Tribolium castaneum: one gene and its partners. Each later gene encodes a partner of the first gene's protein in a complex. Links are inferred from orthologs where the notes say so. Each region holds a gene or a part of one and is shown in the gene's direction. Other genes may lie near its edges. The genes, in order: Prp6, U5 small nuclear ribonucleoprotein 40 kDa protein, U6 snRNA-associated Sm-like protein LSm5, LSm7 and LSm3.

Region 1 (4,968 bases):
CACCACGAGAATAGCATTTTAAAAGTACGTAACCAATAATAATAATATTAGGGACCTATTACTAGAAATAAAAGTCTTTTTTACCTGTCTTTTTTTATCGTCATTATTTTGTTTATTATGGTTTGGTCATCTTATTTTATACAGAGTGAAATTGCTGTGGTTTTTTTTTTTAATTTGAATGAAATTAACAAAAAAATAAAATTAATAGTCAGTCATGAGAATTTTTAAACAAAAATTTAAGATTTTTGTAGTGTTCATATTTTTTTTAAATTAGTGAATTTATTAGTAGTTATTAATATAGCATTTTTAAAGTACTTACCCATTAACTATTGCGTCTATTTTATCGAAAATTCAATCATTGCACATATTTTATTAAGTGCGGTTTTGTAAGACATTTGTTTCATTAGATTTCTTCAAGATTTAGTAGGAGTTTCAACTTTATACTCAGACATGTGCAGTTTTATTTATGACAAGCTTTGAGGAAAGTTTTTATTTGTTTTATGATTCTTGACTATAAGCAAGTTTTAAGCTTTTTTTGCATCTATAATGGCTCTAATATTTTTTGGACCATAAAAATCTAAGTTGTCAAAATCAAACACGCTTAAAAGCGAAAATTAAAATACACTTAAGTCGAAAAATCACTTAATTACGTCGACAGTTAACTTATTTTGTGAAATTTAGTTCATAAATGTTGTTATTTTTATGTATTTTGTATTTGTTTTAAGAGTGAAAATTAAGTAGGATAATACTTAATAATTAATTTATTATTTGGTTTTATGATTTTTCCCCTCATTATTTTGTTTATTATTTTTTTGTTAAATGTAAATGAGACTGAAGACAATTTTTTAAACAAAAATTGACCGTTTCTGTAGTTTTTTATTTTTTTAAATTCACCACAAAAATTCTTGTTTGAATATTTTGATGTGAAAAATATTTTAAAATCGAAAAATTAATAAAAATAAACTTTTTTGTATTTTATTTTTTTGTTTCTGAGTTAAGATTATGTAATGACATAAGTTTGGCGTCTTGTTTTTGAGTAAAAAACTTACTTATTTTTTGAAATTTTGTCAAATATGACTAAAACAGATCGAAATTGACATTATTTTGAAGTGTTTAGTATCTTTTTAGCTTTCTTAATGAACCAAAGGCTAACTATTTTTACGAAAATTTGGTAAAACGGTGCATAAGTCTTTTTATTACATTGAAAATTACGTAATTTTGAGCAGAAAACTCACTTTTAAATGACAGTTTTGTCAGTACGCTTGTTTTTTGTATTAATTTTTTATTTTTTTTTGATTTCCTTTTCATTGCAATTTATTGTGAGTCGAGTAAATAAAACCCGTTTGATTTAACAATTTTATTACATGGTCTTGTTAAAACTGAAAAAAAATTGTTTAAGGATTGTTAAGGATCGTGATTAATGTTTTTCAATAACAATAAAATCTTATAAAAGCTTAGGTAAAAAATTGTTGGAAAAATGCAGGCAAAAAGAATTATATAATTTTAGTAATTGTACTGTTATTTTTTATTATTAAGCGTTTTCTTTTTTTATTTACCTTTTTAGTAATTATTGTATAATCTTGCTTTATTTTACATTATCTTATTTTTTGTACTTCTTTTATTCCATAGTTTTATCTTATGTTTTCCTGTCTCAACTGTTTTTTTTTCTCTAATTTCAAGGCTGCAGATGTTGAAACCGAAACAAAAGCCAAACGGCGAGTCTACCGAAAAGCCCTGGAACACATCCCGAACTCAGTGCGTCTCTGGAAAGCCGCCGTGGAACTGGAAAATCCAGAAGACGCCCGAATTCTCCTATCCAGAGCAGTGGAATGTTGCCCCACTGCTGTCGAACTATGGTTAGCCCTCGCAAGACTCGAAACGTACGAAAATGCCAGAAAAGTCTTAAATAAAGCTCGAGAAAATATTCCCACTGATAAACAAATCTGGACAACTGCGGCCAAGCTGGAAGAAGCCAATGGTAATCACGCCATGGTGGAGAAAATCATCGAGAGGGCTATAACTTCATTAAGCTCGAACGGAGTTGAGATAAATCGAGAGCACTGGTTTAAAGAAGCTATAGAAAGTGAAAAAGGGGGCCACGTGCACTGCTGTCGCGCCATCGTCAAGGCAATCATCGGATATGGGGTGGAGCCCGAGGACCAGAAGCACACCTGGATCGAGGACGCCGAAAATGTAGGAAAAATAACCATTTTTTTTCCAATTTTTTGCAAATATATTTTTTAGTGTGTGAGCCAGGGGGCGTACGAATGCGCCCGCACTGTCTACAACCACGCCCTTGCCACCTTCCCGGGCAAAAAATCAATTTGGTTGCGTGCCGCCCATTTGGAGAAAAACCACGGAACGCGGGAAAGCCTCGAGGGGCTCCTTCAACGAGCCGTTGCCCATTGCCCCAAAAGTGAGATTTTGTGGCTCATGGGGGCGAAAAGCAAGTGGTTGGCGGGTGACGTACCCGCAGCCCGAGGGATCCTCGCCCTGGCCTTTCAGGCTAACCCCAACAGTGAGGAAATTTGGCTTGCTGCAGTCAAACTTGAGTCAGAAAATCGCGAATATGAGAGGGCGAGAAGGTTATTGGCCAAGGCCAGGGGCTCCGCCCCCACGCCGAGGGTCATGATGAAGAGTGCCAAGTTGGAGTGGTCGCTCAATGACTTGAAAGCGGCCCAGAATTTGTTAGATGAAGCCTTGAAGGTCTTCCCGGATTTCGCCAAGTTGTGGATGATGATGGGGCAGATACATGAACAGGAGGGCGAGTTGTCGAAGGCTTTCGATGTGTATTATGGGGCGGTGAGTCGAATTTTCAATTTTTTTTCCAAAAGTGAGGTTGGGTTTTTGAATTTTTGACTCACTCAGTTGGCAACATTGACGCGTCCAACCAAATATTTTTAACATTTTTGCTTAAAAAACGCGATTTTGCGTGCGAAATTGATTGAATTTGTCCTTCACGGCTATTTATTCAAGAGTTTGTCTGTGTAAAAAGAGGAAATAGTGAATTTATCGAAGTCTAGTGCAACCTAACCACACTTTCGCCCCACATAACCTCACTTTTTTATTGTGTTTTTTGCTTGAACAGATCAAAAAATGCCCGAATTCCATCCCGTTGTGGATTTTGCTGTCTCGCCTCGAAGAAAAGCGCGGTTTGTTGATAAAAGCGCGCTCAATGTTGGAAAAAGCCCGCTTGAAAAACCCCAAAAACGACCAACTGTGGCTTGAGGCAATCCGTATTGAAAAACGGGCCGGTATGAAAGACATCGCGAACGCAATGATGGCCAAGGCGCTTCAAGAATGCCCCACTTCGGGGCCCCTCTGGGCCGAGTCGATTTTCATGGAAGCGCGGCCTCAACGAAAGACACGTTCTGTAAGTACTGTCAGTTGAAATTTTCGAAAATAATTAATTTCGTGATAGGTGGACGCGCTCAAGAAGTGCGAGCACGACCCACATGTCCTCCTAGCCGTCAGTAAGTTATTCTGGTCGGAGCGTAAAATCGGGAAATGCCGGGAATGGTTCCAAAGGACTATTAAAATCGATTCGGATTTTGGAGACGCGTGGGCTTATTGGTACAGGTTTGAGCAGCTTCACGGAACGGTGGAGCAACAGGAGGATGTGAAACAGAGGTGTTTGGCGGCGGAGCCCCATCATGGGGAGTTGTGGTGCTCCATTTCCAAGGACATTAAGAATGTGGGGCTGAGTAATGAGCAGCTTTTAACCCTGGTTGCGAAAGAAGTTGTTATTCCAGTCTGAGTTAGTGTTACTTAATAGAAATAAGCGAGGACAGGTATTTTTTTCCAGTTATTTTTTCCCTGTTCCTTTTTTCTTGTGTTGGTTTGATTTGTGCACGGTATGAGGGGCTAAATATTACGTGACACGGTCTTGCAACTGTAAAGTCTGTGGTGAATTAGAGTTCTGCAAAAATTAATGGCAAACTTTATGCGACTTTTATATTTCTCTTTAAATGAAATATCAATTAAACAACTTAAAACATTTGTTTTCTAACACAAGAATCATAAAATTAACTAACCAAAGTTAATGAATGTCGTAACTAATCGTTAAAATAGACCAAAAAAATCGCCAAATTATGTTGATATTGCATTATTTTTGCTTTTAGCTTGTCTTTGTCACACCTACAATCATTATGCAAACTTTTATTAAATGTGGGTGGAAATAACCAAATTAAGTCGAAAATTGTGTTATTTTTCAGTTTTTAAACCTATAAACACGTGTATAAACAAAAATTTCAGAGCTTCTGTGAAATTTTGTTAAAGCAAATGCAGAAAATTGAGTCGATAATTACCTGTTTCGGTCGTTTTACATCCCGAAACGCAATCATGTCGTTAAATTTCGTGAAACTATGCCGAAAAATCAACAAATGTAATTCAATTTGATGTTTTTTTACCTGTTCCACGGAAATTTTATTTGATTAGGTGTTGTGACAGAATTATTTATTTGCAAGAACTTATTATCTTACCTGTCTCAGTCGATTTGCTTCGTTTTTGAGTCGAAAATATTTATGTAAATAATCAGAAAGTTATTTGATATCGCAATGTTAAATAAAACACGAGAAAAAATCATCGAATTAAGTCGATAATTACATGCCAAACGTAATAATTTTCAGTAATTTTCCTGTCTTTCGTTTAATTTCATGTAAATAATTTGAAAATTCAATAAATAAAAGAAACCATAACTTTGGTTTAGAAGCAGTGTGAGGAAATTTTATGGGGTGGCCATGAGGCCACAACCGATCAGCTGACTCGTCGTAGCGCTCTCGCGATGTTCATATTTATCCATGAAATGGTCCGTTATAGCGCGTGCATTGGCGTAGTTTACTATGGTAGCGCTCAGCTCCGTTTGCGTGTGCGTCATCTGACATTTCTGTCACTACGTTTACATAGCAGGGGCATAGCGGTGACAAACTATCAAATATTTTTTGAGGTTACGAAGTGTTTAAATTATGA
Region 2 (5,703 bases), about 4.4 Mb from region 1:
ATTATTATTTATTATTATTCTTATTGATTTTTTTGCAGAGAAACGCATTCTTGATGATGCCTTGGGTAATTCTAGCCATTATGTTGGCAATAGGTATATTAGTTTCGGTGATTTACACCGCCGTTCAATTTTATATTAATGGGAAATCAACAGAGGGTACATTATGGATTGTTTTGGGCATCATTGCAGTTAGTAAGTATTTGAAAAATTATAGTTTCGTTTTTCTTATTTTCCTGTTTCAGTTATTTACGTCTACATGTGGCTTGTGGTCTTCAGTTACTTCACTTTTATTCGGGAAGAAACCAAACGTGGGGCTTATATTAAAGATCCGTTCCGACGGCACTATTAGGAAAAACTGTGTGTTTTTATTCAACCAAAGACAGAGAATTGTTTGACGGAGTTAATTTTAGTTAAAACTAGTCTAAAAAAATGTGAAATGTGTAACACGATTTGTTGTTGATGATATTATTGCAAGATATTAATTTTTTATGACGTAGGTTTTAGTCTATTTATTATTGTTGAAATAATCTGCTAATCCACTTTAATAAATGTTTATTTTGCTATTTCTTTCCATCTAACACATGCATTTTACAGAATATGGAAATTACGCAAACTTTGATGGAATGCCGCAAATATTTATCCACTTTGCGTGTCGCAAAGTTTAATGTTTGAGCACTTATTTTAAATATTTTTATTAGATTAGTTGCATCACACTCTCCGTAGGCACGGAAGTAAATATTTTAAGTAAAAATTAATTAAAATGAGTTATAAAAACAGGATATACATATTCTGGAAGAAACGTACGTAAATATTTGCAAATGTTTAGGCAATTTTTTTGGCATGCAATCAGTGTTTTAAGTTTTTTCTGTAATATCGTCTAAGAGGAAGAAATCATTAATCAATGTCGGTCTGTTAACAAAATTCTACGTTTAAAAAAGGCACAGATAACATAATTTTCCAACAAATTTGGGATTTTCGATTAATGATTTTTAGTGTCATTTTAAGAGTTTTTTTACAAACTGATTTATTTTAGAGTTTAAATGAGTTCAAAAATTGAGCAAAATAAACCAAAGTCAAGTCAATTTTTAGTTAATTTAAGGATTTTCACGGTGTTTTTTCACGAAAAAAAGTGCTAAAATATTAAATAAACATCTGAAAATAGACAAATAACATTATTTTTAACACGATTTAACAACCTTTTGGATTGTTTTGCCAAAATTACACAAAAAACATTAGTATCTAGTATCTAATTTTGATCAAGTTTGCTGATTTTTAAGTTTCTTCTGACAGAATTTAAGAAAATATGTAGTTTTTAAGTCGAAACTTTACTGAATCAAACAAAGCAGACTATAATAACGACTATAATTTGGAAGATATCATTCTTATCAATCTATTTTAGTAAAATTACGCAAAAAAGATGTTTGTAGTTTGAAAATGAGCCTAAACTCCGGGGGTTCCTCCTAAACTTAGGAGATGAAACAAGATATAAAATTACAGGAGTTTCTAATCCCAAAAAATTAGTACGACACACTAAAAATGATGGCGCAATAATGCAACAGTCTTATGGGGTTGTACCTCAAATATTTGCCAAGAGAAACTTAATTGTGTTTCAGTGTTGCAAATTACTAACAAAAATCTGTTAGTACCGGGAAAATACTGACAATTTTAGAGCAAAAAAGTAATAAGAATTACGCAAAGTGAGTTAAGTGAGCTAATATTAATCGTTTTCGAAATTTTGGCAAGTAAAAAACCAAATAATTTTTAGATATCGACATTGGGAAACCATTTCATTGTTGTCAAACATTTATTCCAAAGGAGATAACTATTTGTTTTATATAATTGAAACAGGGTATACAATCAAATCGTACTTCGTGCTCTCCACCAGAGGGCGCTTATCGCTTCGTTTTGTTGACGCTAAAAAGTGAGGTTATTGTTTTCCTCCCAATTTTTGTTTAAAACACCAAAAATGGTTGTTGAGAAACGTCGAGCCGAAGATTCATCATCTCTAGTCCCCGTAAGCAAAAAATCGAAAAATGAAGTGGCCACATCGAACAAAAACAAATCGGTCTTACAAGCGGTTAGTAACACTTAACCTCAAAAACCCTCCTCAAATCATGTATTTCAGGCCCCTGCGAGAACTTCCAATCTATTTGCCCCCATTATGTTACTGGAGGGCCACGAGGGTGAGATTTTCACAGTGGAATTCCACCCTGAGGGTCAATATGTAGCTTCATCAGGTTTCGACCGTAGAATTTGTAAGTTGTTTTTTTTGCAATGAGGTTCAGCCAAATAGGTCTTCATATCAAAATTTTGGAGGATTTACTTGAATATCTAATATAGTAATTTGAAGTACATAGAGGGTGTCTTAAAATTAACGCCCGTGCGTTGGGAATTTGATTCAGGGGGTTAACATAATTCGAAAGTTAAGAGTAAAAAATTTTCAATTGTTATTGATAAAAATGTAAATAATAAGCTTAAAGCTGTTTTTCCAATTGTTTGTGCAACATAATTCATCAGTTGATGTTAGCAGGGCTGAGCCATGCCAATTGGCCGCCTGTGTGCAGGTTCCAATAGTAGTTAAAAATTACCAAGTTAAATAAATGGAAGCAAATGTTCATTTTTAAAATATTCTGAACTAGTTTATTTATTCAAAAATAAAACTATTTGTAACAAGAATATTTTTAAATTTTGTACAGGTACATTAGCTGTTAAAAATAATTTGATAACTACAGTTCATTCTTTTTTATAATTAACTGTCAGTGTCAAAATTTTGATAAAGACCAGACTGTATCACACCAAAATCTCATGTCTAATCACTTTCGAAACTAGCTGTATTCTGTATTTGACATTTTACACACCAGATTTGACATTCGGGACAATTTTTGCAGCCAATGAAATTTGAATTCGTTAGTCTTTAGAATTTGTTAGCCTTTTAAAAAAATGTGTTGTGCGTGTTGTAACTTAAAGACCATTAAATTAAATTTGCCAGGTAAAAATTAGTACCATCTTAGTAAAAATTACTATTTATGGTAATACTAACCTGACGGCTCTTTGACAGTTGATTATAAAAAAAATCGACTATATGTATACACGAATTGTTATTGCTTTGTTTTATCAGGGGTGCATGTTTTTTATTTTTGTTTTTTAACTAATATGAAAACAACCTAAAAACAAAAAAATAAGGAAAAACAAACAATCGTTCTTATAAAATAAAGCCAAAACAGAAAAATAAAGCCCTTGTGTAAAATTATTCATAACTTTTTTACCTCTTTCATTTTTTTATTCTTTTTGTTTTTTGATTTTTTGCTCCATTTGTTTGAATTTTATTATACAGCGTGCTCAAAAACTGGCGCACCAACTCATTGGTGTGTGGTAGAGAACTGGTTACATATAAAGGTAAAAATAGTAAAAAATTCTTTGTATTAAAGTTATTGATAAATAACGGATTTTGGATAAATGATATGTGGCAACGTTGTCTAACAGTCATGATCGCAACAGAAGTTGAGCAAGAATAAAAATAAATTATTTTTGAAACGGTTTCCTAGGAAATAATTGCCAGTGTTGGCACATTTACACATTGCGATTTTTTGGATGAATTTTAATTTTTTTAAATTAAAAAAACTGCTAAAATCTGATAGTAAATTTGAAAATAATTATTCATCGTTTTGTTACGGAACGATTACTTGGTATGAAACATAAATACATAAAAAAAATAATGAAAACTAAAGAAGTTAACACAATAAGTTTGTAGCTCCAGATTTTTCAAAATATGACTTTAGGAATTTTTTAAACATTTTTCCCGTAATCTGCACTTGCTTCTCAATAATGTACCACTGAGTTGGTGCGCCAGTTTTTGAGCACCCTATATTTATCAGAAATATGAAGGAGTGTAGTACTAAAATAGTAAACAAAAAAGTTGGTGGCTATTTAAAATGTTATTTTAACATGTCTTTTCTCAATAACTGGATGTCAAAGACTAGCGTTTCTAAAAATAAAATTGATTTGTGTATTGAAAAAAATAAGCCATAACTAAGATATAAATTTTATGTGTTATATTAAGTTTACTCTGTAGAATAATTGGACAGAAAATTTTATGGTTTCATTCTAGAATTTTTTAATTTTCTAGTCCGTATAAATGACTACTATTTAGTCATTTGCTAAGTAAAATGTTGACATTGCGTGGTAAAATAATCTAAATGCTGAGTGGTAATTATTTATCTATTTTTAGCGATATTTGGCCAACCAGTTTTGCAAGTTATTTGTGCGTTAGGTATTTTACAGGGTTCAATTTTTGTATTAAAGCCCTCAACTTCGTTTCGAGCTTCAATATTAAAACTTCACGCTGTAAAATTTTACCTACTACAGGTAAATTGTAAATAACTATTACTAGAAAGGCTATCATTCCCTAAATTTATGCGTGTAAGTTAAGACTCACCCTATATACGTCTGAACTTATATTCATTTAGGGATCTTCTCCAAAAAGGTTTCTAACTTTATTCAGAAGGAACATATGAGGATGTAAATAAAGAAAATTATCAATTATAGTTTTTCGAAAAATTTTATTTTTTTATAATAAAGGCAATACCAAATTCAAAAACGTCTTCCGCATTCAATTCAACAGAAAATTTTATGATTTTATTCTGTTTTTTTAAGTTGTACAATCATTTCTTTACTTCTAATCACTCTAACTCTGTTCATTTTCATAATGAAATTAAAAGAATCCAAACTATATTTTTATTTAAAATTTTATTTATTCCATCGTCAAGGATAAATGAAATTTTATCACTTAGAGAAATAATATTGTTCACAACTATTGTTGTTTTTGTTGAGTTTTTGACGTTTATAACTGTCAATCAAAATAGCTCAGTAACTCAATCGAAATAATGGAGGATGGAATAAAATTTTGTATTGCACACGATAAAATTCACTATTATCTTCTCAAGATCTCAAAGTAAAATTAAATTTTATTGTCTTGTATATCAATTGATTAGTTTTAAAGATCTACATATTTTTCTTAGCTCTTACCTATTTTGAAGAATTTGGAAAAAACATCTTTTAAGTATTGAAAAAAAAAAGAGTCGTTTTTACATACTTTACGGCAATCTTCATCAAAAAATTTGGTTTAAAGGCCTATTTGTCTAGACTAAATATGTTGGTTTAAAACATGTGCGATTTCAGTCGTTTGGAGCGTTTACGGTGAGTGTGAAAATTTATCGGTAATGAGTGGCCACACGGGTGCTGTCATGGAGCTCCACTTCACGACAGATGGCACTAACATTTTCACAGCCAGCACTGATCACACGCTTGGCCTTTGGGATTTACCAACAAGTCAAAGAATTAAAAAATACAAAGGTCACACTACTTTTGTTAATTCGGTCCAAGGTGCGAGACGAGGCCCTCAAATGTTGGTCTCAGGCAGCGATGACACCACGATTAAATTATGGGATATTCGCAAAAAACAATCCGTCACAACTTTCAACTCAAATTATCAAGTCACTGCTGTTGAATTTAACGACACAGCTGAACAGATTTTCAGCGGAGGGATTGATAATGATATAAAAGTGTGGGATATTCGCAACCATGAAATTATTTATACACTTAAGGGGCACACGGATACGGTGACAGGGTTGGCTTTGAGCCCAGACGGTTCGTATTTATTATCAAATTCGATGGATAATAGTCTGAGGATATGGGACGTAAGGC
Region 3 (4,022 bases), on another chromosome or scaffold:
TTTTGTGTAGTAATTAGTTTATATTTTAGACTCACCTTGAGGAAGTCACGAGAAGCTTATCATGTAAAAATTTGAAAGTATTTTGGCGCTTTGTTCTTTGAATTTAGAATACAATAAAGCATTAAGCGTATTTTTTGTATAAACATATCATGGCGTTTTTATACGCGATGGTCCGTTAAGTCCATCCTATTATGCGTTCTACAGTTATTGTCAAAGTTATTACTTTCACCACTCCTGCTTTTCATGCTCATGATATGCGTTCTGGCATCGGTAATAATGCACAATGCTGAAATCGATACATCAAAATTATTCAAATTTTATTCATAGTTCTACATCAGTGTTGATATTCCCCACTTATAGATTTATGTTCCGCGTTGATATTTAGGTAAACAACGTCATGATTTATAAACACTACTGCTTAGCAAAGTGTCTAAGTTCCTATGTTTGGTGTTGGAAGTAATCATTACTTTGTACACTTTTTGTGCTTAAAATCAAAACAATTTGCGTTTGACATGAGTAAATAACTTGTCTTTTATCTAAAAATGCCCATTTCAACGGCATATCCTGTCGTTTGCATGTCTTTTGGTTGCTTTCCTCCTGTGTACCTGTAATATGCTGAAAGTAAAAATGTGGAAATCCACTTGACATTTTCTTAATAGCTTTCAGGGAAATGGAGATGAGTTTACTTTCTTTCGCCACAAATATTGGAATACATTAGAACTAACGTGAACTTTATAAAAATCTGTGGAAACAAACACTTTGTGTGAGGAACGTTGGGAAAAATAGAATATGATTAATACAAATTCGTTCAGGAATTTCCTGGCCACATTCCTTGTTAGCGGTATATCCAAAGAATGTTTATTATTCCCATAGGTATATCGGTCGTGTCTAATCACAATTTCATTATAATAATCCACATAATGATAATGTCAACCACAGTGGTCAAGTTATCATAATAGAATATTGTTTGCTGCAAGTAGCATTTTAATGTGTTTATTTAAACAGCATGGACAGGGCAACTGAACTCTTCCAAGATAACTGTAACACGAATATAAATAAAAGAAAAACTCCTGAGAAATAAAAATAGCTAAGCATTCACATTCTGCTACAATTACCATTTATTCCCCGATATAAATTATACGCTCTCGAGCTGTCGTGTTATAAAAATAGAGCGTTATAAATCATATTAAAGAGGAATAAATCAATGTGTAGGGGTATAAAGCTCTTAGAGAACGTAAATATAGGCTAAACCAAAATAACACCATTGTTTCAATTAACTGGAGTATACTGACCTTTTATTACAAATTGATGATTTTAAATTCCAAAATTTACTCCACGAACATTATTGTCACGATTTTAGACACAAGTTCACTTAAAAATACGATTATTTATTACAAAAAACACAAAACCTACAACTACAACACACTCAACTCCCACCTCGGTCGGCATTTGACGAAAACGACAAACGACTGAAATACCGAAGAAAGCCGCAAAGCGCATGACCTGTTACACTGCAAGAGCTCCAAGCTCGCACATACGCGCTCCAAAAGAAATAAAAAATAAAAACAATTCATGCATTCCACGCCGTAAAAATGTAACCATAAGGCGGTAAAGTCTTAACAAACGTGTGCCACTACTTTTTGTAATTGTCTTAAGCCGTATTTTGATCGTTTATTAAATTGTTCGGTTCCGTAACGTAAGTCCTAGCTTGAGCTTTTTGCTGTAGTTGCGACACTAGCGCCATTAAGCTCCTGTCAAAATCCTTTTTACTGTCAAATTGATTACTTTTTGCTGTTTGTAAATGTAAACAGTTGTTTCAAATATTTATTGCTAATTTAAGAATTTATAATTATTTGAACGTATTATTAAACGGTCAGAATGACTTCCATGCCTGTGTCTTCTTCCACCTTGCTTCCGTTAGGTGAGTAAAGCAAAAAAACGTAACGTGTTTTTTTGGTTATCTGCCGGTGTTTGAGCATTCAATAATAATCATTAATTTATTAACGTTGTTTTTGCTATTGTAGAACTTGTGGATAAGTGTATAGGGTCAAGGATCCATATTATTATGAAAAATGATAAGGAAATCGTGGGGACGTTATTAGGCTTTGATGATTTTGTCAATATGTTACTGGAGGATGTAACGGAATATGAAACAACGCCTGAAGGAAGGAGAATTACTAAATTGGACCAAATTCTGCTTAATGGGAACAATATAACAATGGTACTTTATTTTGTGCTTCGTTTTTATGTTTAATATGCCATACTGTATCTAATTAATTCTTGAAACTAATTCAAAATTTTAGCTTGTTCCAGGTGGAGAGATGCCAGAGTAAGTCATTTGAATAAAGTATAAAATAAGGGCATTTTTGTGTTTGTTTAATACCCTTTTTTGTATCATAAAAAGCTCTTATTTTTGATGAAAACAACACTGTACATTTAAGGAGAGATGTGTTTGTGTCAAATTTGTCCTAACTGGGCCTTTTAACACAAAAAAATAAGTTGTTCAGAACATTACTTTGTAATCGCGGGTTAGGCAACCACCTTATCTTGTTGTATAATGTGTTGCCAACTACTCCAGGCCTTTACAATGAAAAAAGGAATGGAACGACGTTAGAAAATAACTAAAAGTCGTAAAAACGGTTCGTTCCAGTGAATTTTGCGGCTCATTTTACCATATATCAGCTTTTTACGCAATTTAGAACCCACTGGAGTTGCTAAAAGTCCATATGTTCGATTTTTTTTATCCAATTTTTTGTCTCGATTTCCGGTACCCGGAACATTTATATAGGTTTGGACCAAAATAGTTCCATAATTTGAAGAGAGCCGGCCAGCAGCATTTTTTTTTCACTAAAAAAAGTCGTAACTCAAAAAAGTCGTAAAGCAAAATGGTTTGTTCCAGCGCATTCTACGAATCACTAAACTAAGGTGGGGGTGAAATAAAACACCGTTGTACTGTTATTCATTTATAGAAATAGAATAGACATTTTTAATCACAGTTAGAATACTATTCAAGTTTAAGTTTCTGATTAAACTACTCTACAGAATTTTGAAACTTTGTTAAGTTTAATCTCAGAAAATACTGTATTCAGGGTTTGCATTAAACATCTCTTATAGTCAACGAATCGTAAACTCATTATTCATCAACCACAATTTGTAATATCTATTTTGATTTAAAAAGGTTGACTGCACGATACATAAATTATGCCTATTATTCCGAAATATGGATAAACATAATCCCTTGTGCACTAATCCCCGTTAAAGTCTGTTGAAATTAAAGCCGACTGTATCATGTAGTCACCCTGAGTGTAATTCCTCATTTGTACAATTTTCAACTAACGTAGAAGCTAATTTCGATGTAACTAATGAATATAATAAGTACTACAAAGGCAACTAATTTCTTAAACCGCACCTTAGTGAGCCATGTTCCAATCACAGTCGTCTAGTAATACCTAGTTAACCTTTACACAAACTAACTCTATCAGGAAAAACTTGGAAAAACACCACGACACACTCCGTGGTTCATTTATCCTAGTTGGCTAATTTTGTACCTATTCTTACAATTTTGTATCTTTAATTTTACTTCTCCCGGGAAGTTTGGAACCAGAACATACAAACCTTGTATGAACTACTACCAAATTTACCCAACGTAACAAGAAAATTGTGTTAAAAATGTCTACGTAACAAAACAAACCATAACAAAACAAGCACTTATCGTGCAACAAATTCACAATTCAATAAATACGATATAATGGATATTGAAATGACGAATGTTCCACTTCATTAAACGATATGGGCACAAGTACTAATACTGTTTTATAATAATTTTAAGATATAGAAATCGATATTTACGTATCCACCACTATACATAATTAAATAACTAAGGCTAAATTAACATGTCTTGAGAAAATATCTAGACTAAAACATTTAAAACGATATCAGAGGTCGTGGAAAAAATTCCGTTTGCAGTAAATAGATCACAAAATATCAAGTTCCGCTCGATTCTTTAAGTGTTATCGTCAGAA
Region 4 (4,022 bases), about 5.8 Mb from region 1:
CACAATAAGATAAAAAGTGAGGTTATGTCATTCAAAAAAAAAAAAATAAGAATTGGGTTATGATGCTATTTCAGGGGCCCCGGATGCGGAAATAATTTTTCCCGCATTATCAGCTTCCGTTTCCCGCCGTCCTACAATTACCGATAATGAGTACTGGTAACAAGACTCATTTTTCGCCTCCAGTTGTCTCAAATCTCTTTGTAGAAAGTGACGGCCCCCCTGCCATGAAAAAACTCAAACTAAACCAATTCGAGTGTTTTCCAATCACATCATTGGACAACATCTCCGAAGTGATCGAAAACCCGCCCCAGTGGGTGAGCCGAGTCGCGCCCTTGACCGAGCGCAGCCCCACAGTAGTGCAAAACATAATTTCGGATTGTCATTGCGATGCGAAAAAATTCGGTCCACGAACGCGTCTCGATAAGAGATTTGTTCCCAAAACTTTAGTGTGCCATGACTACAAAGGTGGCTATTTGGAAGACAGGTTTTTGTCAAGTAGCAACATCGGGAATTTGTACTCGTTTTATAATTGGCAACACATCGATATTTTCGTTTACTTCAGTCACCACCTAATCACAATCCCACCTTTGTGTTGGATAAATGCCGCGCATCAAAACGGCGTGAAAATTCTTGGAACTTTGATAACAGAATTCGAGCCGGGGAAAAAAATTTGCGAGAAGATTTTCAAAGACGAGGACACGATGCGAATTTTCGCAACTTCTTTGACCCAAATTTTGAAAATTTTCCAATTCGACGGGTGGCTCCTCAACATCGAAAACTCGCTCCAAGACACCGAAATGTTGAAAAAATTCGTTGCCTACTTAGGGGTGCAAACGCACACCCAAAACCCCGACCATTTAATCATCTGGTACGACAGTATCATTGAAACGGGCGAATTGAAATGGCAAAATGAGCTCAACCCCCTTAATAAATTTTTCTTCGATAATTGTGACGGTATTTTCCTCAATTACGTATGGACTGAGGAAAATATCCACAATTCGATTGAATTTGCAAAGCATCGGACTTTGGACGTTTACGTGGGGGTGGATGTCTTCGGTCGCAATACCTTCGGAGGCGGTCAATTCAACTGTTTCAAGGCCGCCCAGATGATAAGGAGACACAACTTATCAATGGCGATTTTCGCGCCAGGCTGGACGCACGAAACGCTGCCCAAAAGTGAAAATCGGCAAAAATTCTTCGAGGATTTTATTAATCGAGACTCGGCTTTTTGGAACAGTCTGTGGCCCTATTTATACACGCATCCCATTACGAGGTTCTTCAAGACCAGTTTTTTCACTGGAGTTAACCAGGTATTTAACTAATTAATTAGTTATAACGCGCCCAAGTTCGTATTACGAAAAATAGTTCGCCCTTTCTCTCTCACTCTTTCCTATCGGAACTCCTATAGCTCTGTCCTTGTCTTATGTAAATAGCGGGTTATAACTTTTTAAGTAAAATTATAATAACTTAATAAAAACAAATGCATTAATTTTAAGGACGTCTACGACCTGTTCACGCAACACCCGCAACTCTCAAAAATCAAGCACCCAAAGTCACTAGAATGGGTCCCCAACCACCACGAAATACCAACACTGAACAATAAGTGCAACTGTTTACAGTGTGCTTTCACCAGTACTGGTGTTAGGTGTTTAATTACTAAAGAATTTTTGAATAGTTCAATATGTTACGTCCATCGTATTTTCACCTGTGATATTTTCCTATCTGGAGTTATCACAATTTACGTTTTGACGAAACTAGTACGCGCACAAGCCGCTCAATTAAGTTTAAATCTCCTCACTTCGGATAAAAACGGTACAATTAGAAAAATTAAATGCAATAGCACCGTCAAAGAACACCTAATTAAAAACTGTACGTTAATGGAAATCAATCCTTCGATAAACCCCTCACTTGTTAATCACGTCGTTAGAAGTAACGACGATTTGTTTCTACACGAAAATTTAACAATTGCGTAAGTCGGTCACACGTTTGGTAGGAAAAAAAAACTAATTAACTTTTTCAGTGTTTATCAGTTTGATTGTTCGCCGTGTACGTTATTGGAAATTGGATGTACGTTAGAGGAGGGAAAAGCGATTTATTTGTGCGGTCTTGGAGTCGAAGAGCACGTTCTAGTACTCTGACACAACTTTCGTGACCAACAGTACAAACAATTTTCTGCCATACTGTACATTTTGCCAGGGCTTGAAGCCCAAATAGTTAACATGTATTAATGCTTTAGTAACGCCCCAATGTGTAAATAACTTTTTTTGAATAAATGATAACCGAGAATTTTGCATTTTTCATTTGAAACTTTGTACCTCCACTGCGCAAGCAGTCCTCTACAAATTGTGTCCCAAAATTGCGTCAATTTTTACGTAATTCTTTAGAAGCTAAGAAAATTAATTACGAAATTGCTGGACTTTACAAACCGATAATTATTTTTTTTTATTTCAAAATTAATCGGAAGGTTCCGTGCGCATAGGAGACCATATGCACGCGTCACCTCCAAACGTATTCTAGGTTAGAATTTCAAAATCGGCAAAATTCCACAAATAAAGCCGAACAATGGCATCGTCAGGTGACAAATCAAAAGTACGTACCCCAAACTGCCCCATTTCGCCCCCTCAACCCCCATTTTTACCGTAGAATCAGAGCGGTGACCAAAAAGAGAAGAAACGTAAAGAGTCGATTCTAGACCTCTCTAAATACCTTGAAAAGACAATTAGGGTGAAATTTGCGGGCGGCCGAGAAGCTAGTGGTATTTTAAAAGGCTATGACCCCCTTTTGAACCTCGTCTTAGACAACACAATCGAATACTTGAGAGATCCAGACGACCCTTATAAATTAACAGAAGACACGAGGGCCTTGGGTTTGGTGGTCTGTAGGGGCACAAGTGTCGTGCTCATATGCCCCATGGACGGCATGGAGTCCATACAGAACCCCTTTATATCCCAAGACTAAGTTTTGTACCATAAAAATACCTCTAATTTGTAAGACGTTTTTTTGAATAAAACCGGTAAAAAATTAATAAAACTGTTTTATTGCACAAACTAGCTCAATAAATTAATTAGAAGTTTAGTTATAATGAGCGTAAGCAACCACCAATGCTTATAACCAAAAGTAATTAAAGCGTACACACAAAAAACGTGTTAATTACGCTTGAGATTAACGAATAATTGCCCCAAATAATAAATCTGGGTTGATTCAGTTGATTGCAAAAATGGGTTTTTCTGTCCAAAACTACGGTTGAGTACAGTCGCCCACACATTTAATGGCCCTGTTGCGCACCGAGCATGCGCAAAAACGCTCTGACCGACTCGGATGACTCACCGCCGCCATTTTCCTTTCAAAAAAGTGACATTGGTGACAGTTGAGTGCAAAAGTGCTTTAAAAATGCCGGTCAGGGTGGATATTACGCCTCCCCCGCCGGCCAATTCAAAACAGCCGGGGGTAACAAAGTCCCTCTTATACAACGGCTCCAAATTTCAAGGTTTCCAGAAATCGAAAGGCAATTCGTACGAAGTGGAAGTGGTTTTACAGGTTAGAAGTTGCAAATAATCGCACCATTGCCCCCCTTAACCAAAATTTCGATGACTTTGTACCGTTCGAACCCTTGTAGGACGTGTGACGTCCCTTTTGCTCACCGCTTATTTAAAGAAAACTAAAAATATCAACATATGCTAATGCAATCCGAAATGGCGGGAAATTTAAATTTCGCTCGTTTTTCCAGCACGTCGACGAGGAAAACTCCTATTTGTGTGGCTATTTGCAAATTAACGGGCTCACCGATGAGTATCCCACCTTGACTACGTTTTTCGACGGCGAAATTATCAGCCAAAAGTACCCGTTTTTGACCAGAAAGTGGGACGCCGACGAGGACGTGGACAAAAAACACTGGGTGAGCACCCAAATCTTTGTTTTTAGCACAATTTCAAAAATTACAAGTAGCCAAGCATCGCAGCTCACTATCTTATAATTATTATTTTCACAATCTAGAAGGCGCCAACCCAAATGTCAACTGTTAA
Region 5 (4,177 bases), about 3.3 Mb from region 1:
TTGGTTAATGGAGTCGCTTGAAGACAAAGTGTGGAAGTCCATTCTTTGAAAATGTATTATGAAGGGCAACAGAAACTGTGTAAAGTTAAAAATGCTTACGTTATTAGCCAGTAGTGGTAGATGCAGCGACGTCTTATTTTAAGGAAATGAAAATAAGATACGGAATCAACGGAAATGCAATTGGTGGAATAATCATTGCCAATCCACCTGCTGGAATTCCCTAAATTGGGATGTCGGTCGTGCTTTTGGTTATTTAAGCTATAGAAAGTTGTTGTTAGGTTGGTAGCTAGGTCTAGTGCGGTGCTAATAATCTTTCTCTTATAAACCTCATTTTTTGTAAATTAATTGTCAGTGTCAAAAATTTTGGAATTATGTTGGAACCCTGCCACATTGACATAGACGACTAATTTTAAATGGAGTTGCCAACGTTGAAACAATTTGAAAATTGATTTTAATTCCGAATGGACTTTAGCAACCAGTAATTTTATATACGTGCTGATTCTTTTAGAGCCTATATTACAAACTTTTTAACTTCTAACATAGGTTGAGCTTTAAAATTTTGTACACGATTCAAATCGATCACTCTGAGTTAAAACTAAATTATTTTCAAGATGGCTGAACTTCCGGAACTACGAGAAATTGGCGACAACTTTGAAATTTTAAATGGTGACCACCTATTTTTATTGTGTTTCTGAATTCGCCTTTTGAAACTGAGTAAAATGTAAACCTAATTGTTAGTACTTATCTGTCTTAGTTTTTGAAATATGTCAAATGTTTTGATAAATTTTTTATTTGCAGAGGTTTATTTAAAACATCATAGCTCTTGAGTACTTTAAAATAAGTGAATAATTCTTTTTGCATTTGATAACCAAAGGCTCGAAGGGTCTTCTGAAATCTTTACGATTGTCAACTGTCAAATTGCAAGGCTACTATGATATTTTGAAAATGATAATTAAAAAACAATTATAGAACAGTTTTTTTAAATGGAATGACTTCAATGGCAATCAAAAGAACATCAATTTTTATGCAGACTTATTAACATCTTCTATATCTATCTCTTACAGTTTTTGAAATAATCTCAAAAAACCGAATTCAAGGTAATTATTTTCATTTTTAATCGAGTAACCTTTCAAAAAATACGATAAAATTGTACTAATGATTAACAGAAATTTTAAAACTGTCCCCCATTTTCACTCAAAAAGTTCAAAATTCGATGGCAAACTGACTGAGTTATTCACTAAGTTAGCATAAACCATAATTAAATATTAATGTTTTGCTGCTTATTTGATAATGAACCAGCTAAAAACTAAGTAAAGTGTCGAAGTTTGACAATTGTTGACCATTTTGCAAGGTCTACTTGATTAACTATAAAAATTACGAAGTAAAATCCGTTATTTGTGATTTTTTCAAAAACTGTAACAGGTAAGGTACAGGACGTGTTGATAAAAATCACCATGAATATTGTTCTTTCGATTGCCGTTAAGAAAATAGAGTCGATCCATTTGAAAAAACTGAATTATAGCCGATTTTATTTTTAATAACCATTTAAAAAAATCATACTAGCCTTGAATTTTGACAGTTGACAATTTTGAAAATTTTAGAAAACTTTTCGAAACTCCGATAATCGAATTAAAAAAAAATATATTCACTTCTCCTAAACGGTTCAAAGGCTGTGATAATTTAAATAAACCCTTGCAAATAAAAATTTTACCAAAAAAATTGACATATGTAAAACTAAGACAGATAAGTACCAACAATTTTAATAAATTTTACTCACTTTGAGAGAGTGAATTAAAAAATGTAATAAAAATGTTTAGTTACTCTTCAAAATTTTAAAGTTGGCGCCAATTTGTCGTGGTTCCGGAAGCTCAGAAATTTTGAAAATAATTTAGTTGAATTTCAAATAGTCGCTTTTAAAGCACTAGTTTTTTTTAAAGTTAAAAAGTCTCTAATGTAGGTCCTAAAAGAATCACCCTGTATAATCTGCCGATTTCTAAGTGTTAGTGAGTGTTAAACTATGCATGATCCCTAAAACGAGTGATTGTATTATTTTAAAAAGTAAAACGCGGTAATAATCTGTGGCTTTAATTAAAAAACAAATTTTTTTTAGATTCAAAAAAACACCTTCCGCCCGAATTTTATTACATGCCAAGACCGGTCTGTCCGAATATCGTTAAAATCGAAAAAGGTGTTCTTATTGTGGCGACACTGTAACGACAACTTAACCTAACTTTTGGCCTGTTTAATTTAATATTACAAACAAGTATCATCTTTCGTGAGAATGGCAGATGACTTAGAAAATGTAAGACCCATTTCATTTAGAATTACATTTCACCTACCACTCCTTTCAGATTCCCTCAATCACCGTCAAAGAACCGCTCGATTTAGTGAGGTTAAGTTTAGACGAACGTATTTATGTAAAAATGCGAAACGATCGAGAAATCCGGGGCAGACTCCACGTAAGTTGTCTAACAAAGTTCCATCCATCACAAACCGAAATTCCAGGCTTATGACCAACACATGAACATGATCCTGAGCGACGCCGAAGAGACCATAACCACGGTTGAAATCGATGAAGAAACATATGAAGAGGTTTACAGAACGACGAAACGTAATATTCCCATGCTTTTCGTCCGAGGTGACGGCGTGATCTTGGTCTCACCCCCAATGCGCACTTCGTAAATAAAACACATACGTTGACATGATGTTTATTTACCCATTAAATATCGTATTTTACAAAGATTTCCTGATAATTGGTTAAAATATTAAAAAGGAGTATTAGGATAGTACGAGTTAAATAATTCTCTATACAACTTAATTTATAAATAAAACGTTCATTACAATATGTACATCTCAACCCAAGTCAAAACCATCCACTGTAAACGCAATCTAATAAGCTTATCATGCAATGCCTCAATAATACTGGAAATTTGGCATATTGCTAAAGTTTGCTCGTTAAAAATTGAAAATTCGTTGCTTCAATACACTTGACTAGCCGTGCTAGCCTTCCTTCTATGTCACGCCGACGTTTCATTTTCGCCCCAACCCTCACTATCACACTCCGAATCGCTTCCTGAATCCGAATCGCTAAACTCGACTGCAACCCTCCGAGCTAAAATACTCGCAACATCGTGGAAACCGTTCCCTCTCTCCACCTCCTTCTGTTCAATCTTCTCCACCTTGCGCAACTTAATCCCATCTCGGATAGCTTTGAGTAAATCATTCCTGGGATCGACGATAGGCGGCGCCTGCTTTGGCCGATCTTTGACAGGTGTCAATTGCGGCGGCGACGCACTATTTATAATTTTCGCCAAATCGCCGTTAACCAATGGGGGACTAGTCGTCGGGCCGTTCAGTAACGGCATTGGTGGAGGTGGTGGCGGAGGCGGGGCTTGTGGAGTTTGTTGTTTGGGGGGCGAGGCTTGCTTAGGTATGGGCGGTGGTGGAGGTAAGTCTTGCACCGGTTCGGGAGGTGTGGCTTGATGCGGACTGTTTGAACGCGATTGGGTGGCGAGATGTGCGGGGATGCCGTTGGGCGGTGACATGGTCGTGTCGGGTGGTGGGGGCGGTGGTGGTAGGTTGTCGCGGCCGGAGAGGCTCCGCCCTCGCGTCGGGGTATTGGACGAGGGCGTGCTCGTGTTGCTAGGTGGTGCGGGTGGGGGCTGGCTTGGGCGGACTTTACCGCCTCGTGTGGGCGTGCCTCCTTGGTATAATGATTCGGAACTGAGTGGGCCTTGGCCATACTCCTCGTACGGGGGGTAAGTGGGGGAATGGAGACCGTCGGTGGTTTCCTGTTGGTACGAGCGTCGTATTTCGATTGAGTTCGGTCGTGGTGGGCGTGGTTCAATCATTTCTTCGGTTGGTAACATTTGTTGTTGTTGCTGGATGATGGGTTGTGGGGTGCGATAGATGGTGTTTTGTTGTGGCATGATGTATTCGCCGTGGCCTACGGCGATTTGCTTTTGTCTTTCGCGGGTGTTGTGTGGTTGACGGACGCGTTTTTTGTGGCGGTTTCCTTGGCCGCCTTCGGTTCGTGGTCGGTGTGGTTTCTTGCCACGGTCGTGCATCATACGTTCGGTGTCGTTGAGCATTTCTTGACGCCATAATTCGAAGAAGTAGTTCGGATCGGTGTAGAATTTCAGACCGTCTTTGCCGTCGTCACGGTAACAATTGAGTT

The links.
Region 2: Prp6 (region 1) and U5 small nuclear ribonucleoprotein 40 kDa protein share a complex: the UniProt entries of both Homo sapiens proteins name them as parts of the U4/U6-U5 tri-snRNP complex. The link is inferred for Tribolium castaneum from reciprocal best matches to the Homo sapiens genes PRPF6 and SNRNP40.
Region 3: Prp6 (region 1) and U6 snRNA-associated Sm-like protein LSm5 share a complex: the UniProt entries of both Homo sapiens proteins name them as parts of the U4/U6-U5 tri-snRNP complex. The link is inferred for Tribolium castaneum from reciprocal best matches to the Homo sapiens genes PRPF6 and LSM5.
Region 4: Prp6 (region 1) and LSm7 share a complex: the UniProt entries of both Homo sapiens proteins name them as parts of the U4/U6-U5 tri-snRNP complex. The link is inferred for Tribolium castaneum from reciprocal best matches to the Homo sapiens genes PRPF6 and LSM7.
Region 5: Prp6 (region 1) and LSm3 share a complex: the UniProt entries of both Homo sapiens proteins name them as parts of the U4/U6-U5 tri-snRNP complex. The link is inferred for Tribolium castaneum from reciprocal best matches to the Homo sapiens genes PRPF6 and LSM3.

Annotation. Positions count from the first base shown.
Region 1 is NC_087399.1:6,882,302-6,887,269, forward strand, and holds the end of Prp6 (pre-mRNA-processing factor 6), read left to right. Parts: intron 1-1,680; coding exon 1,681-2,193; intron 2,194-2,244; coding exon 2,245-2,802; intron 2,803-3,088; coding exon 3,089-3,373; intron 3,374-3,421; coding exon 3,422-3,757; 3' UTR 3,758-3,794; downstream 3,795-4,968. UniProt on the Homo sapiens protein: Involved in pre-mRNA splicing as component of the U4/U6-U5 tri-snRNP complex, one of the building blocks of the spliceosome.
Region 2 is NC_087399.1:11,298,439-11,304,141, reverse strand, and holds the start of U5 small nuclear ribonucleoprotein 40 kDa protein, read left to right. Parts: upstream 1-1,868; 5' UTR 1,869-1,966; coding exon 1,967-2,077; intron 2,078-2,125; coding exon 2,126-2,255; intron 2,256-5,178; coding exon 5,179-5,703. Other genes in the region: uncharacterized protein LOC656468, read left to right, coding at 39-192, 243-349. UniProt on the Homo sapiens protein: Required for pre-mRNA splicing as component of the activated spliceosome. Component of the U5 small nuclear ribonucleoprotein (snRNP) complex and the U4/U6-U5 tri-snRNP complex, building blocks of the spliceosome.
Region 3 is NC_087394.1:33,639,611-33,643,632, reverse strand, and holds U6 snRNA-associated Sm-like protein LSm5, read left to right. Parts: upstream 1-1,741; 5' UTR 1,742-1,878; coding exon 1,879-1,921; intron 1,922-2,024; coding exon 2,025-2,221; intron 2,222-2,303; coding exon 2,304-2,333; 3' UTR 2,334-2,363; downstream 2,364-4,022. UniProt on the Homo sapiens protein: Plays a role in pre-mRNA splicing as component of the U4/U6-U5 tri-snRNP complex that is involved in spliceosome assembly, and as component of the precatalytic spliceosome (spliceosome B complex).
Region 4 is NC_087399.1:1,125,187-1,129,208, reverse strand, and holds LSm7 (U6 snRNA-associated Sm-like protein LSm7), read left to right. Parts: upstream 1-2,429; 5' UTR 2,430-2,562; coding exon 2,563-2,589; intron 2,590-2,643; coding exon 2,644-2,958; 3' UTR 2,959-3,030; downstream 3,031-4,022. Other genes in the region: ENGase (cytosolic endo-beta-N-acetylglucosaminidase), read left to right, coding at 147-156, 205-1,310, 1,497-1,969, 2,021-2,138; glucose-induced degradation protein 4 homolog, read left to right, coding at 3,391-3,537, 3,728-3,895. UniProt on the Homo sapiens protein: Plays a role in pre-mRNA splicing as component of the U4/U6-U5 tri-snRNP complex that is involved in spliceosome assembly, and as component of the precatalytic spliceosome (spliceosome B complex).
Region 5 is NC_087399.1:10,143,000-10,147,176, forward strand, and holds LSm3 (U6 snRNA-associated Sm-like protein LSm3), read left to right. Parts: upstream 1-2,144; 5' UTR 2,145-2,281; coding exon 2,282-2,302; intron 2,303-2,351; coding exon 2,352-2,459; intron 2,460-2,505; coding exon 2,506-2,682; 3' UTR 2,683-2,700; downstream 2,701-4,177. Other genes in the region: SCAR (actin-binding protein WASF3), read right to left, coding at 3,018-4,177. UniProt on the Homo sapiens protein: Plays a role in pre-mRNA splicing as component of the U4/U6-U5 tri-snRNP complex that is involved in spliceosome assembly, and as component of the precatalytic spliceosome (spliceosome B complex).